Drosophila melanogaster: one gene and its partners. The protein of the gene in region 2 interacts with the protein of the main gene of each other region in a pairwise test. Each region holds a gene or a part of one and is shown on either strand. Other genes may lie near its edges. The genes, in order: CG4882, CG17744, CG6470 and Fer3HCH.

What was found.
Region 1: the proteins of CG17744 (region 2) and CG4882 interact in a two-hybrid assay, tested with the Drosophila melanogaster proteins (one large-scale study listed by BioGRID).
Region 3: the proteins of CG17744 (region 2) and CG6470 interact in a two-hybrid assay, tested with the Drosophila melanogaster proteins (one large-scale study listed by BioGRID).
Region 4: the proteins of CG17744 (region 2) and Fer3HCH interact in a two-hybrid assay, tested with the Drosophila melanogaster proteins (one large-scale study listed by BioGRID).

The regions. Positions count from the first base shown.
Region 1 is NT_033778.4:23,880,145-23,884,832, forward strand, and holds CG4882 (uncharacterized protein), read right to left. Parts: upstream 2,784-4,688; 5' UTR 2,674-2,783; intron 2,376-2,673; 5' UTR 2,174-2,375; coding exon 1,971-2,173; intron 1,917-1,970; coding exon 1,577-1,916; intron 1,444-1,576; coding exon 766-1,443; 3' UTR 673-765; downstream 1-672. Other genes in the region: TM4SF (transmembrane 4 superfamily), read left to right, coding at 10-210, 287-505; PHDP (putative homeodomain protein), read right to left, coding at 3,143-3,334, 3,603-3,796, 3,892-4,168.
Region 2 is NT_037436.4:7,025,201-7,028,888, forward strand, and holds CG17744 (uncharacterized protein), read right to left. Parts: upstream 1,595-3,688; 5' UTR 1,549-1,594; coding exon 1,300-1,548; intron 1,232-1,299; coding exon 764-1,231; 3' UTR 601-763; downstream 1-600.
Region 3 is NC_004354.4:18,512,275-18,516,972, reverse strand, and holds CG6470 (uncharacterized protein), read left to right. Parts: upstream 1-2,105; 5' UTR 2,106-2,263; coding exon 2,264-2,636; intron 2,637-3,143; coding exon 3,144-3,784; 3' UTR 3,785-4,144; downstream 4,145-4,698. Other genes in the region: HisRS (Histidyl-tRNA synthetase), read right to left, coding at 1,291-1,383.
Region 4 is NC_004354.4:13,106,672-13,109,738, forward strand, and holds Fer3HCH (ferritin 3 heavy chain homologue), read right to left. Parts: upstream 1,524-3,067; 5' UTR 1,426-1,523; coding exon 1,291-1,425; intron 1,229-1,290; coding exon 803-1,228; 3' UTR 711-802; downstream 1-710.

The DNA of each region.
Region 1 (4,688 bases), on a different chromosome or scaffold from region 2:
ACCCATTAGTTGCAATGCTGCGGCGTCGACGGACCTCTCGATTACCGCCGACTTTCGCTGCCCTGGTCCTGCTGCTCGCGCCCGGAGCACGCCTACGAGTCAGCATGTGATACCCACTACAAGCGCGGATGCCTGGCCGTCGTATCGGAGCAGATCAGGAACCGCCTGCTGATCACCGCCTTCGGAGCTGCCATCATAGCCATATTCCAGGTGAGTCCCCCCCAATGGATTCTCTCTCAACTCTCAGTTAGTTGACCAATAATAAATTGAAAACCAATTCGCACAGAGCCTGGGAATCTTCTGTGCTGTCCACCTGACCATTCTGTTCGGCAAGAACGACAACACCCATCCCATGAACATGAACCGGAAAAAGAAGCAGCAGCAGTTCTTGCCCCTGACCATACAGGACAAGAGGCACGACATGCCCTCGCCCATCAATCTATCCCCTTCAGCACCCGGGCAGCGGGTTTTAAAAACTGCTCTGCCCTCGGCCATGCACAAATGACAGACGATTAGCTTTTAAGGATGCAAAAATTTATGGAAACTCCAAAGAAAAAGTATAAAAAAAATGTTGTAAACTGAGATGGAATGAATATAACTGTGACCCTCAATGTTACGTTATGGTAATTTTAAACAATTTAACGTTCGAGAAAAGAAACAACATTTGAATTTGGATTAACTCTCCAGTAGTTTAATTAAAGCTTAAAAACAATTGGATCTAACTTGTTTGTGGCCAGGAGTTGTCGTGGGTCCACGGGTTGTCCACTAGCCGTTGTGCGTGATAGTCGGCGGCACATAGAAGGTGTCTGCTGCCTTGGGCTTCTTCTTTTTGCCGAACCAGCGCTTGGGATAGTAGACCTTCTTCTTGTAGATCTGGATGTCGATGTCGTCCCGGTTCTCGAAGAACCACAGGTTCTGCCGCTTCGCCTCCAGTTCGCTGAGGGTCTTCTGGATGGTGGCCTTACGCTCCTCCACGCTCTGCGAATCCAGTTGTCGCTGCACCGCTGCCTCAAACTTCTTGGCCCACTCCTGATACGACTCGCCGTAGTCGGCCAGCAGTTTGGGCTCAAACTTCTGCACATTGGCTTTGACGCTGTTCTCCAGTAGCGATTGAATGGCATTCGATTTGCTACTCTTCTCAACGGCTTCCTGCAGGGACTTCAGCAGCTCTTCGGATCCCTCCAGCTTGAGGCTTTCAACTATGCTCTGTGCGGCTAAAAGAGTCTCCTTGTGCAGGGCAGCTGAGTTCGAGGCCAGAAAGCTGGAGGCCTCGGGCACTTGTCCGGTTAGGACATAGCCAAGTAGGGCAACGTTCTGCTTCAGCTCTTTCAAGGACCCTTCGCCGGAGCCCAATCGAACCATGGCGCGACCCAGTTTCTTCTCTTCGGTATTTTCGCTGGCGTCGTCGGGGTAATTGCGAATGAACTTCACGCGAACTTTTTCCTAGCAAATTCAGGTATGATTAGTAAACTTGGTAAAATGCCAAAATGAACAAAATCTTAAATAGCTATTTATGAGTGAATAAAGTTTCCAGCCGCTTAGCTGATAATTCAGCCACTATCGAAAATCATCTTACCACTTCAACATTTTTGGCAGGAGGTTGAACTTGAGAGGACTCGAAGGGCTTGAACTCCTTGGCGAAGGACCAGAAGGACTGTAGGGCCAGGGACTCCAGCAACTCGTTGTTGCATAAGTTTCTGTCCACGAGAATAGTGGCCAGCTGGGCAGATTCCACCGCGTGGCCATTGTGCAGCAGGAAGTCCAACAGGAAGCAGCCAGAGAACTGGTCCACAAAGAGCCCGTACTGGATGGGATTACGGAGCACCGATATCGTCTCCTGCGGATTGGTGGAGTCCAGCAATTGCTTGACCAAGACACTGGGAATCAGCGGCACCAAACTGGCCTCCTTCTGTTTCCTGCAAGAGTTATCTTATGAGTAGGGACACTACTTCCAATATGGCCGCACCCACCTGAGCTTGAGCAGCCGGTCCACCAGGTCCATGGGACGGTTATCCGGATTGACGAACACATCCAAATCCACACTCGTTACGGCATGACTGCTGCCTGCGGCGAATTTAGCCGGTCCCTCGTGCGCCACCTTGTTGAATTCCGCCGAGAAGTAGGACACCAGTCTCCTGGGTGGCAGTGCGCAGGAAATCCTCGATCGCAGCATTGTCAATTGTCTTTTTTAATTCATAAAGTGTTATAACCAGCCGATTAACAAATAACATGCAGCTGGCCAAAAGAGCAACAAAATCCCTAGCGCGTTCGCCAGTTAATACCGCAGATAGCGGTATTTTCGTATTCGAAAGCATTGAGGGTATTTCGACTTATAATATGTTGCTTTTTCCGGGAACGATGGAATTGAAAATGTCCTTGGAATATTTGAATAAAATAATTAATTTGAATTCTTTTATTCTAAATGAAAAAACACATAAAATAATCAAATCAAATTGCAACAAAACTATTTAAAAAACGGAAGAGTACGTTTTATATATAGTTAAAAGGCTAAATGATATTTGTATATTTATGTATATATTTAATATCTGTATATACGTTTCACTAATGAAGTGTAGAAAAATGTAAAATGAACAACGATTTCACAGTTTATTAAAATCATTCGAGGGTGTTGAAAGGCGGGCACTACTTATAAATTGCAATATTAAGTTATACATCTGGGCACATATGATTTCAATAAACTGCAATTCAATCTTGATCTTGTTAATTAGATCTGAAAGGTATTCACCGCCAATCCCTGCGGTGGGCACTCCACAACAATTGCTATATTGAGCGCACCGAATCGCCACCATCAACTGATTACACGCCCTAATGCCGATCCAATCCACTTTTTCCACCCGATAATGGGATGACAATTTACCCCTGAAGGGCGTGAGGTTTGGTACTTGTAGATGGTGACCCTTCAACCCCCATTCAAGTCCTTGTTTTTCTTCCCACAGGCTTAGCCGGCTGAGCCCTCAAAAGGGTGCTAAGCCAGTTGTCCCGGATGATATGAAAACAAGCAAAGTGTTACACAGATCTTATTTATTTAACGCAATTCGCTCCAAATAGTCAGTAAAAATAATATCAAAATAACTGCATTCATCAAAATGTATACTAATATTTACATAGATATTAGTGGATTCTATATTTGATCGTATAAGCATTTCATTTGACGGCCATGGCCATTCTGGGGTCCCTTGAGAGATGGGCCCAGGTATTTCGATCCTGCTACAGGATTCTTCCGGCCATCCAATTTGCTCGACTTGTCCTTCATTATGTAAATGGCATGCCTCTCCTGCTTGCGAAACTTGGCTCTTCTGTTCTGGAACCAGACCTAAAACACACAATGGTTTTTTTTTTTTTTAATTTCGATTACTAAGTCGTTTTGTATCCTTCAACAGGATATGACTAAATTCGTTTCGATTGTAAGCTGGCTTCGAGAAACCTATAATATTTGAACCTATCAACAGCAGATCGAGTTCTTTTCAATAGTTATATTATATTATGTAAGTATTATTTGTTATATGTTAATTATTGAAATATGTGTATCCTAAACTACCCACTCACTTAACCAGCAATTCAATCTCATTAGTTTTCCTCACCTGAACTCGAGCTTCCGTCAAGTGCAGCTTGGATGCGATCTCTTCCCTGGTGTAGATATCTGGGTAGTGGGTTTCCAGGAAGATCTTCTCCAGCTCGTTCAGCTGGTTGGACGTGAAAGTGGTGCGAATGCGCCTCTGTTTTGATTTGTCGGTCAGGCTCAAGCCGTCGTCTCCATAGGACTTCAAATGGAAGTCTATGGCGAGGTGAGAGTTGGTTCAAGATTACAATCCATAATCGATCCATCCAGGTGCACTGGCTGCAGGTGGAACTGATGGCCACTGTACTTACCCGTGTTGTAGGAGCCAATGTTATGGGTGGCCGGGTAAAACTCGGAGACAGTGGTGATTTTGGAGAACAATAAGCTCGACTCCTGGTTGAGGGAACCCCGGATTGCGGACTCGTTGGCGCAGAGCTTGTAACTGGAGTCAATCATGAGGTTGTAGTGATTTATGTGATTGGCCACGGAGAGTCCTCCTCCATTGGCGCCGCTGTTGTAGAACTCCGAGTTCGCGGTGTACAAACAATCCTTGTCGAAGTTCGCCTTGTTGAGCAGTGAAAATTCCATCGCATCTGCAGGTAAATTCACACACGGCACTCGATTGAAATTTTACAGCCCGCTAATGAGTCATTCGGCCATAAAACACATAGTTATAGTAGCTCCGCGGCCGCACACACTTTTAACTGCCCTTGAATAAATAAGCTTCGATTACGATTGTATCAACTACAGGACATCCACGTTGGACGAACAAGGATGCTGCACTTGTCTCGGGAGAGCGGGACGGAAAATTTCATTCGTTTCCGCGTTTGGAGGCGGTCCTAACGAGCTCCACTCGACATAGGGGTGGAAATCTGACTTTCCGGCGCGTGTCGTGCACTGCGCGAAAATTCACCGCATTTCCCCAATTGACTTGTCACAGCATGTCTAAAGAATTGGTTTTGGTTTTAATTTCATTGATTGCATCGCTGTCTGTTGGCTCTGATCTAATCTTCACTCAGAAATCTTCTTTTCAATGAATATTTCTTCAAAATCTGAATATTTTCCAAGCTCCATCTTTAAGCGAACTTTTCTTTGAGTGCACCAATTT
Region 2 (3,688 bases):
GCCTCTGGCTATGGTTCTGGCTCTTTTTTGGTCGTTGCCGTGCGCCCGTTCATAGAACTTACACAGTAAAAGGCAGCTAAAACTTGCAAGATTTTAATAAAAATCAGTAAATAGCAAGGGTTTATCAATATGTAAATGGCTTTGGATGTAAGTCCTTCGCATACTAGCTTCCTTATATATACTTCCTTATATATATATAACTCTTAAGAGCGACAGCTCATAAATTTCTGAACAATTCCTATTTCTAACTTTTTCAATGACAATTTATATGTCGTACTTACAATGTAAGCAGCGAATTAACCATTTACCATTTAGCACTCAAATATTTGTACGAATTTCGCTCAGTGCAGCTTGTAGCCGGCTTTCGGTGCTGCATTTCCGCTTGAATGGCGTCTGTGCTCGGAGCAACTAACAGCCCATTGACAAGGGGCAGTGGGTGGGTGGCTGTTGGAGGGTCGTAGGGCTGTTCAGTGGATGGTGCGGAGGGGCAAGTGTGTCACCACACACGACCACGTAACTGAAAGGCATACTTACCGTTTTAAAACTGTGCGCTCTGTACATGGCACACTACTATATTGACTTTGAAGCATAAAAAGCTTTCCCAGATACTCCAATACACTGGAGGCGAACTCTTTATTACCGCCCATATGCCGGAGTCATGTTTCTGTGTTCTGTAGCTCCAAGTGTGGGTATTGTACAATGAAAACCGTTGGAAGCCATGCCATGGGAATAGACGGTGAGATGACTTCCTGATCGATTTGGCTTAAGTCCGGGCCTTATCAGCATTGGTTCCCGTGGCAAGTGGTCCTTGGGGTTTTGCCAACATATCTAATGTTTCGAATTCATCCTCCTCTTCGGACTCCAAGTGGGCATCGAAAAGGGCACAGAAGTCCCTTATGTAGTTCCTAAGACTTGCAATTCGCGACTGCAATTGCACAAAGATGCGTTCATCGAAGACTTTCACCTTGATTCTATCGCCAGTATCTTTAGTTATCGAAGCCAGATCGTATAGGTCCCTTCGCTCGTCCAGATTCTTGCTACACAGGCGGCTGAGGTGCGTTACAAAGTCCTCCATGTCCTCTATAAGTTCCACTACTAAAAAATAGTTTTTGGTCTTATTTCGAGCAGTTATAGGCTTTGCAACGGAATAGGCATAATCGAACTTTTCACCAATGGCCTTAAGATCACCCGGTAGTCCCTTTAAAGCATTCTGAGTGCAGACTAAAAGACCCTGTAGTATAATTTATTAATATATTATTAGTTTTTTCTTATTTCGTTTTTTTAATAACTCTTGCTTACATTCATATCTGTGAAGGCTCTCCAGTCTGCTGATAATAGCTCATAATCTGGCCACCAGTCTTCATTTTCATCTTGAAACTCATCTCGAGTGGAAGCTATCATGCGAGTCTTTAGTATCTGAAGTAGTTGTCCCAGTCGTGGTTTCATCAGCTCTATGATCAGGTTTCGTAACTCTTCAATCTCTTTGCTTCCTTTAGAATCTTTGGGAGCTTCCTTCAATAGTTTATTTAGGACTTTAGCAGACTCCATGGTGGAAAAAAAATATAATGTGGCAAGTTGAAGCTGCGAGTTTGAGTAAAAATATTGCTGTATTAGCACCAAAATTTTTGTTTTGAAGTAGAATTCAGAAAACGCCTGGCCTCCTGAATTTTCACCATGCACTTCAGGACCAGTTATGCACATCCTCTTTATATACATATATACATATATTTAAAATTGTGCATATTTTGCCTTAACTGCAGCTGCCGCGGGAGAACGGCTTACGCTGCGTATACGCAACGTTGACACTATCTGTTTGCTTTTGGGTTTATAAAACTGTCTAAATCAACATATAAACCAACACACTGGAACATAAACACAAAAAAAATCTTCAACTTGGTCATAATATGTTCGTTTTTTAGCATGTTACATTTTAGGTTTTGTTTTTATTTGACAGGTTTTCTCGTTTTAAACTAATTGTAGTTGGCACTTTTGACCCACAATAAAATGCAATTTTAACCCTTTTGCTTTTCGTATTCGGTCTTGGGGTCAGAACAGCATAAATATGAAGGTGAAAATATAGAAATAAATTCATTGAGCAGAAAAGTGTCACAAAAACCTAAATAAACAAAGTGTAACAACATCTTAACACATTTATTAGACAAAATATGCTACATAGGCATAGTTTACATTTTTTCTGTTATGGGATTTTGTTTGTGCACAGAAACAAATGAGTTAATCTTGTGATTAAGTAAATAAATAATAAGTAAATAAATAAACTTCAATTTTCTGAGGGAGTATCCCTTTTTTTTTTTAATAATTTACTATCCTAACTGGAGCAATTCAGTATAAAATCCTATTTTGCCTCTTCTATAAGCCCGAAAGCTTCTCCGCTGAGTTCTTCTGCTGCAGCTAGTATATATGTATTCAGTTCTGTATATTTGTATGTGTGTGTATATATATGAAGCTTATGCTCCGCAGGATAAACAGTCGGGCAGAAAGGAACTGTGACAGTCGGAGAGGCGGAAGGACAAAGTGACTGAGGGACCAGCAGACAGACGCTTCTGCAAAAATGTTGGCGCAAAAACTTTTCGAGATTTGTGTCAGCTCGTTTGAGAATTAGTCGTAGGTTTTTAGCAAAATTAAAAAAAATCTGTCACTATGCGGTTGGCATTTGCCGTCTCATTGTTTTTCGGTCCCCTAACAGGGCCCTTGATCCCCCGGCTACCCCATTTCCACCCACTTTTCCAGTCTCAGTTCCATTTCCACATCCCCAGCTCCGGCTCCTTTTCATATTCGGCTTGTGTTTCCATTTCTACTTCTCGGCCACTATTTAGACAGTCACTTCTGCTCGCTGCACATGGACACTGCTAAATATACACATTAAAAATAATGTTACACAAATATAGAACCTTTTATAAGAAACGACGACTTAGAAGCAAGTTGGGAAATTCTTAAAAATAAATAGGGATTCATGTTATTCAGCCTATTATGAAACAGGTGCTAATATCCGCATGGTCATGCTAAAATTTTCGTTTTTAATCATAAAAATATTTTAAATTAGGTTTTTGAAGTATATTAAATACAGAGGTGCCCCATAGAACCATATGTGCTCGAGGTTGCGTGTACATGTTGTATGTACAAGTTTTGCGTTATATGCTCTCTGCGCTTTGATGCGACCGTTTCTTAAATAATTTATGTGCCGCAAAATGTGCAAAGTAATTTATTTTGATTATATGCAAAACAAGAACCGGCGCAAAAATGAAAATGGGCATCAAATAAAATGCGAAACGGCCGTCGAGTGTCAAAAAAAGGAGCTTTGGAGTCAAGTGCAGAGTAAAGTGAATTAAGTCCTGCACCTGGGCAGCTTTATTTTCGTATTTCCAAAAGAATCCCGCCTCTTGAAAGGCAAAAGAGGCCGTAAAAATTTATGTTGCTATAATTTAGCTTTAAAATCGCACCAAACCTCAGCCCAGCTCATCCGAAAAGTGAGAAGTGGTAACCAAGGGGGCGGTGCACGCATTTAAACGGAAATAAAATAAAATTACAAAAAGTGCGCAACTTTCTGACGTTGCGATTGTTATCCTCGTTGCTCCGGTGTTTTCCTTTTCAGATTATTTTTTTGGGCGCTTTTTTTTTTGCGTTTTTTTGGACTTTTAGCGAGGGCCGAAACGGCTGTCAGAAAGTGATT
Region 3 (4,698 bases), on a different chromosome or scaffold from region 2:
AAACTTAAAAATGATGATAGATATAAGGGAATTCCCTTAAAAACGGAGAGACAGATAGCTCTTAAAAAAAAAATAGTACATAAATCTATATATAAGATATTGCCTCTTTACAAGGCTACAGATTTGAACAATAGGAATAAGTGCAGTTGGTGGTAAGCGTTGTTGCAAATGCCTCATAGCCCAAATCACATGTTGCAGTCGTCAAGTCTTGGATCGGTTGATTGTGGTCTAGCAGGTTTTTGATATAATCGCTATAACCACCATGTGCCTTTTGTACATGCCTCCTGTTTGACCAGTCGCTCTCTTTTCAGTCAGTCAGTCGGTCATAGAGCACTCACTTTGGTGATGCAAATCCAGCTATTAGTCTCATTTAGCTACTTGACTTTAATTAAATCTAAATCTAAAATTATGAAATTAAATCTTTTTTCGATTACTGAACATGCAAGCTTCAACTTCAAATCTGAAAGATATCCTAAGTATCCCAATTGGATTATTTAATACCTGTACAATACTTGTTCTAATTGGACAGCGTCTAGAACATCAAAGAGTACAGGAAAAATCACTTTAAGGTCTTATTAACACAAAAGATTATTGAGTTTTCTAGAAGTCTCCAACTGTTTTCAGCACAGTTTCAAGGAAATCCAGCCAAAGATTTGAAGTGAGCATCAGTAGACTTACATCAGCAAGAGATTAATATAAACAATTGCTTCTATTAGTCACAGCTTCGGACAGCACTGCTAATTTAAGCTACTTTCCAGCCAAATAGTCGGGACAATAGTTTGGCATCACTGTGCACAACACTAACACACACGCACACAGAAGCAGTGCATTTGCCGTTGGCCAGAGCGAGACAACAATAACAACAGAGTGGCACGAATGTGCGAATGCGAATGTAAATGTGAAAGTCTGCGCGCTCCTTTAATTTGCCGTTTTTCCTTTGCACCGCTCTTCCGATGTTACATTCATCTAATTATTACACTGCAAAAACGAAGATTTCGAACAACTCCAAATGCCAGCGCAGCATGTGTGTGTTTTTTGTTATTTCCCTTATTCTCAACTGCATGACGATCTGATGAAATATGTATGCGAGTGGGATTTCGAATTTGATGACGAAAGCAGGGCCGGGAATTACGGCAACAATTGCACTTATTCCATTGTACACACACAAAGGGGGATGACACTGGAAGGCGGACGCGTTGCTGACGGGTGGGGGGGTTGGATGGTGGAAGTGGTAGTGCTGGGTGGAGGGAGGGAGTCGGTTTCCAACTGGAAGTACGACCAAAAACTGACCTTCTCCTTCGACTCCTTCGCTGCTTTCAATTGACGGACGAGATCGCCTTGCACTTTGATTTGCTCCAGAATCTGCTCACGCGTATCACTCATATTCCGTGCTCGATGGCCAAAAATGAAAAACGGCAAACGGTTGACAGTCCACTGCAAAAGGCGGGCGCGCGGCGTTTCAATCGTCTCGAATCGACACGGCGATTTATGCTGTCTTTTCCAGCTTTCAGCTGCTTTTTCTGCGCTGCTGGCCAAAAAAAAAATTCGCACGCGGTGGTCAATGTGACCGTTCGTCGCGTGGTGGGAAAACGTGCGCTAGTGCGAACTCAAACCGTGGTTGATAACTGGGCTGGCGGACATGTAAAGTGTATAATTTATAATTTATTAACAACAATCAACACACGAATGCTGGCCACTGTTAGTAATATTAACTGCACTACAATTTATTAGCTAATTTTATCGTTTTTTTTTTTTTTTAAATAAAAATGTTCATGTCACTTGATTGCGTAAAGTTGATCTTGTTTGTTTTTTGTTTTAAACAAGTTCAAATAAGTTAAAATAAGTTGATTCGATTACAGCACAAACTTATCTATCCTAAAATCATTAAATAGAATATTTTTTGTCAAAACTACATATATTACAAATCATCAATTAAAAAAAATATATTTTTTTTTAAATAGCAAATCCTGAAATATTTTAAGAAGCGTTTTTTGTTTAAATTGTTGTTTATTGTTAAATTGTTTAAAAATCGAAAAATTCGAAATGAAATATAAGATTGGAAAAATGTTTTTTACTTCAACATTTAAAATTTCCCTGCCCAGCAGGCGATGTGCTTAGTTTCATTGGTATATATTTAAGCATCACCCTTAGATTCAGTATTCCTTCGACACCGACTGACTACAAACTGAAATTAAAAAAATAGCATTGAAAATTAATAAGACACGCTACACATACACAAACACACACGCACACCACACACGAGATGAACAAGCCGCAAAAGCCCATCAAGGTGAAGCGCGCCAAGCGGACCGGATGCTCCAGGATTCAGCCGCAGGAATTCGTGGAGGCTCAGGTGGAGAACGCGCGCAGGGCGGTGGAGCGCAAGCTGATCTACCTGTCCGAGTCGAACAGAGCCAGTGCATCCACTCGGGCGGCCAAGCGAAGCACGGCTGGCGCAGGCGGAGGAGCAGGGCGGGAAGGATCGAGCATGGCTGGCCATGCCCATGGTGAGCGTCGCAGGCGCAGCAAGAGGAGTCTGCTACACGCTCCAGCTCAGGAAGAGACCGACGAGGAGGAGAGTTCGCCGCTGGAGAAGACGAACAACTACGATAACAGAAGACGCAGCAGTTGCAATCGTAAGTTACAAATACATTTGCATATCGTCGATTTGGGATGCACCTTTCTATATGATCTTGGGTATTATTCAAGCTAGAGACACCAAATTTGGTATACAATACGTTATTGGTTATTAGAACTCTTTAAAATCTTGAAACAGCAGTATATATTTATCATCATTACATATATCATCTACTTAAGACCCTTCTTTCTATATGATCTTGGTGCTTAGTTAGGCAAGAGACACCAAATTTGGTGTACAGTACTTTATTGGTTTATTATACTCATATAAATCACGAAACATAAGTTTCAAGTGCAATTTATTTTAAAACAACGATTACAATTGTAGGTTATTAAATATAATCGATTTGGACACCTGTTATCTATATGATCTTGGGCCTTATTAAAGCTACTAACACCAAATTTGGTATATAGTACTTAACTGATTAATATAGTATATTAAAAGTGATATTAATTTAAGATCTCATATTGAGTTAACCAATTCTCCATTCTCCATTCTCCAACAGTATTGCTATCTCCTCGTCGCAATGGCCTCACGCCCCGGAACTACGAGGCCGAGGCCGAGGCAGCGGAAATGGAAGCCATTATGGCCGCACAGCAAGCCTCCAACGGAACGACGAAGCCCGATCATGATGAAGGAGATGGCGGGGAGTATCAGGGCGGACCGTTTGGCCGACTGCAGCTGAAGCCGCTGGGCAGCTATGCCACGGACCAGCAGCTGCCCAGCTACTCGTGCGGCGTGTGCGGTGCCAAGTTTCACATCCGATCGCTGCTGGGCGCCCACCGGCACACCCACGACGATGACTTCAAGGTGCGCTTCCGTGCACGGCGACCGCGGGAGAGCAGAACCACCCTGACCACCGTCCATTTGTGCAAGTACTGCGATCGCTCCTTCGACCTGGAACGCACGCTGCACATCCATCTGCTGAGCTACTGCAAGAAGATACCGCCGCAGCAGCGCCGCAAGCTGGCCTTCACGGAACTGGCGCACGAGAAGAAGGCGCCGTTGCCCAACTTTCAGCGGGCGCAGCAGCCGGTTCACCACCAGGGAAACAGTGCCACCAACCAGCAGGATCAGATGACCCAGCAGGAAAAACTTCAGAAGATTATCATGCGCGAGTCGGCAGTGCACGAGCGCTGGCGCTAGTCGTCCTCATTACCAATCTTCACCAGAAACTGGATGCAGAACCAACGCTTGCTTCCAAACACCAGAAGAATCCATTGAAACGAAAGGAAAATTGTCAAGTGCAGGGCGTATGCAGCTCAACTGTATTTGATTTGTTTACCAGGATCATCAAAATTTGTGGAATTGAAGGCAAAATTATTAGAAGTATGAATTGAGCACAATGACACGATTAGTGGGAGACTCACCTGTTCTGAAGACCGAAACACACACTGGCGTTGAATAGTCACATTCCACAAACGACGGTCAATTAAAACTAAATTAAGAGTCCCCAGCACGTTGATGCAAATGTATTGAATATAATTAAATATTTGAACTAAACAGAAGATTTACTTGCAATGAATTGTCATTTCTTAGATACTTGGCGGAAAGGTAAAAGAATCATAATCCATTGAGGCTTTAAAAGCATAATAAGATACTAAAATGGGTATATATATTTTTAAATTTATCGAAAAAATCGATGAGAAATCGCTTCCTCTCTAGTCCACTATCTAATATGTAAAGAAGAATGATATCGATGTATTACAGAAGCGCTTCGATACCCAGCTCGAGCAATCGATACGATAGCTGTGCATCGATACATTCGCTCAATGAAGCTGACTGCACGCACGTCCGTTGCGTCACCGGCGCTACCTTGCCTTACCGTTTACCGTTCACCGTTCACCGTTCCGTTCCGTGCCGAGCTTTGGCGGTCAAGCTCAAAGTTTCTGTGCGCTATCTCTTTCGCGCTTGCGGCGGCGGCGGTGGCGTTGGCGGTAGTGGGTCGTGTGCAGGGAATACAAGATAGGCGATGAGCGGCAACTCGGGCGGATCGAAGCCATCAGTCGATCGCAACAGGTGCTGGTGGTCACAGGCGGGAGCTGCCGGAATCGAACGGA
Region 4 (3,067 bases), on a different chromosome or scaffold from region 2:
TTACCATTCAGTTCAGCATTCAGTTCTGAATGAACGATCCCTACGATCTGGATGAGTTTGTTGGTCAATGTGGGAATGCCCCCACAAACTTCCAGAGGGGTTCATGATTTCGGAAATTAGATCAGGGAAAATTTAATTTGATTTAGAACGAAGTTTCGCAATTCTGTACTTATTTCATATTATATTCTATGTAACTAAATGAATGAGTTACTATATTTGTCGTGTCTTGCCGACTTTCACGATCTCAATCTATATAGATATAGATAACCTATTAATACGTCACAAATGCTTATCATATAGACCAACTGCTTCATCATCAAGTTCCAAGTGTTTTATTATATAATGGGTAGAACAAGCGTAGTTAAATGTCAGGCTTCTTTTAACTTTTATCTTTATAGATTCGAGATTATCAACTGTTATCATATATATAACAGAAATATTGTGTCATTTGATTAGAAACGTATTTACAGAACTGGATAAAGCAGATGAGTTACTATCCAATACCATCAACACTGTGGTCCAACTAAAGGGTTATCAGATGGGTTTAGCTGTTGATTTCGTGAAGCTTTGTTTTTGGACTCAGTTTCGGTGTCGATTTCAATTAGAATCTTGCGCAACTCTTGGAGCCGATAAGCGAGTATATTTATAGAGTTAGTTTTACGCCAGCCACTTGATAATGTGGCAGCAAAAAAAAAAAAAAAAAAACAATTGATCGGCCAAAAAACGAATCTTTACTGAACACACATGGGTTTGCCAATTATAATACGTATTCTTCATCGGATGGTTGTCCATTTTGAGGTATTCATTTCGCAGGATGCATGCCGCTGCCCATATACTTGTCGAACAGGAATTCGCCCACCTGGTTTTGTGCCTTCTCCAATTGGCTAATATAGTCGGCCAGAATCTTCTGGCCATCCACTTGCTCCTGCAGGAAATTGGCCTCGATGAAATCGCAGAGATTCGGATCCGCTTCCTTGCCAGCCAGGGCGTGCAAATCGAGCAGATGCTTATTGACCTCCAGTTCCATTTTCATTGCGTGCTTTAGTGCATCCAAGGTGCTGGCGAAACAGGGCAACGGCTGTGGTACACTGCTCAAAATGATTAGACCACCACGCTTGTTCATGTACGTCATGATCTTCTCCGCGTGCTCCCGCTCCTCGACGCTCGCCTTTAGGAAGAATCGATGCATTCCGGGTGAACTGATATCGGAGCGATCGAAATGGTAGGCCTACGTGTATTGAACGTACTATATGCATATATATATATTCCCTATTGACTGCGGAACCTTACCATGGCCAGATACTGGTGGGATGCCTTCAACTCCATGTTGATCTGATCGTTTAGCTTCTTCTCGCAACTTTTGGCGAAGTTCTGACGCACCAGCATGCACATGTGGCGCCGAATGTCGCGGAAGCACCACGCCATGTCTTTTGCTTCTTTTTGAGTTTTTTTCTATCTTTTTTTTTTTTTTTTGTTTTTGAAAATTTAGAAACCTATACAATTTGGAATTGAAAGTCAAAACACAAACAGTGTGTCTAAAAGGCAACTGGGTCGGTTCGGACAGGTGTCGATGGATCGGATACGATCCATCTAAGTTCGTCCATTGATCTCATCTCCAAATATCCAGATCTTCACATCTCCGCATCGATCTCCGATCTCGCGATCTGGAGGAGGTGTTGATCCACCGTTCGGACGGCCAAAAAACAACGGGTTGGAGTTCAAAGTGCTGCCGGCTCTGATTTCACTTAACTTCCACTTAGCAATAGTGTGTACACAATCTCTCACTCGGTTTGTTCGCATCTATATACGTTCGTACGTATAGCTTATAGATACAGATACATATGTATATATGTACATATATAGTTAAATATCTGTGTCCAGATATGTTTGCTTTAACTTCAACAAGTACACACGAACACGGACACACTAAGTAAACGCAGTTATTGTCTTTTATTAAGTGAATGGAAGACGACTTTTGTCCGAGTTTTGTATAATCGTGTTATACCCTTTCTCATAGGGTATTTGAACGCTTTTCCCAAAATATTGCTGATACAGAAAATTGCGACAGCCAATGCAAGTTAAAATAAGAAATTTAATTTATTAAAGGATAGAAAACATAATATTATATTTTGTATTTCAAATGAAATGCTTTCGTAGGCGAGTTCAACGCGTCTTACAGGTTTAGGGTATTGAAAATGTAAAGATCTCCCAAGCCGAGGTTTCCAAACATTTCCTATAAACATCCAGGTGGTCAAAACTACTCGCACTTTACTACAAACATCCACTCATTACGCACATTTAAAAAACCAACAAAGCAATGGTGACTCTTGAAGCCATGTGCGCCCCATAAAAAGGCAATAATAAAGATATAAATGGTTCATTTTCACCGACACACAGGAAAACGAACCGAGAAAAAAAACACATAGGAGTTATGCAAATCATCGTTGAACTGGACAATAACAACCCAAATAAAAAATAGCAAACATTTTTAGATGAGTCTTTACGTTTTTTTTTTTCAAGCATTATGAAACAATTTTCCCTATGATTGTGATTAAATAATATATACACTTATTAAGTGAACGATGACATATGATCTTGTGTGTTTATAGAGGCAATTAACATGTTTAGTTCATTATGCAACAGTCGCAATAAAAATGAAAATTATTATCTTATTCAATATTTAAGGGTCAAATGGAAAGGCTTTTGAACACAGAAAAATTTCTAGAATTTTGTAGAAGATTTTACAGGCATTAAAGTTCTATAATTACTTAAGCATATTGAATTTCAACAAAATCCACATCGGAACTCAGTTAAATTTCAAATTCCACTCCCGTAATGCCAACAAGATTTTAATTTGGACAAGTGTGACAGCTTCAGCGACACATTTACATCACCTCCAAAATAATGGCAACAATCCAGTTTGCAGTGTCATAAAAACGTGCAACAAATTATTAACATTAAATTAAGCTGCGGAGTCACAAAAAAATTTTTATATACATTCGACGTGTTAACACAAAACTCAAACGTCAGCATATGAGGTAAAAAAAAAAAAACAAAATCCAACATA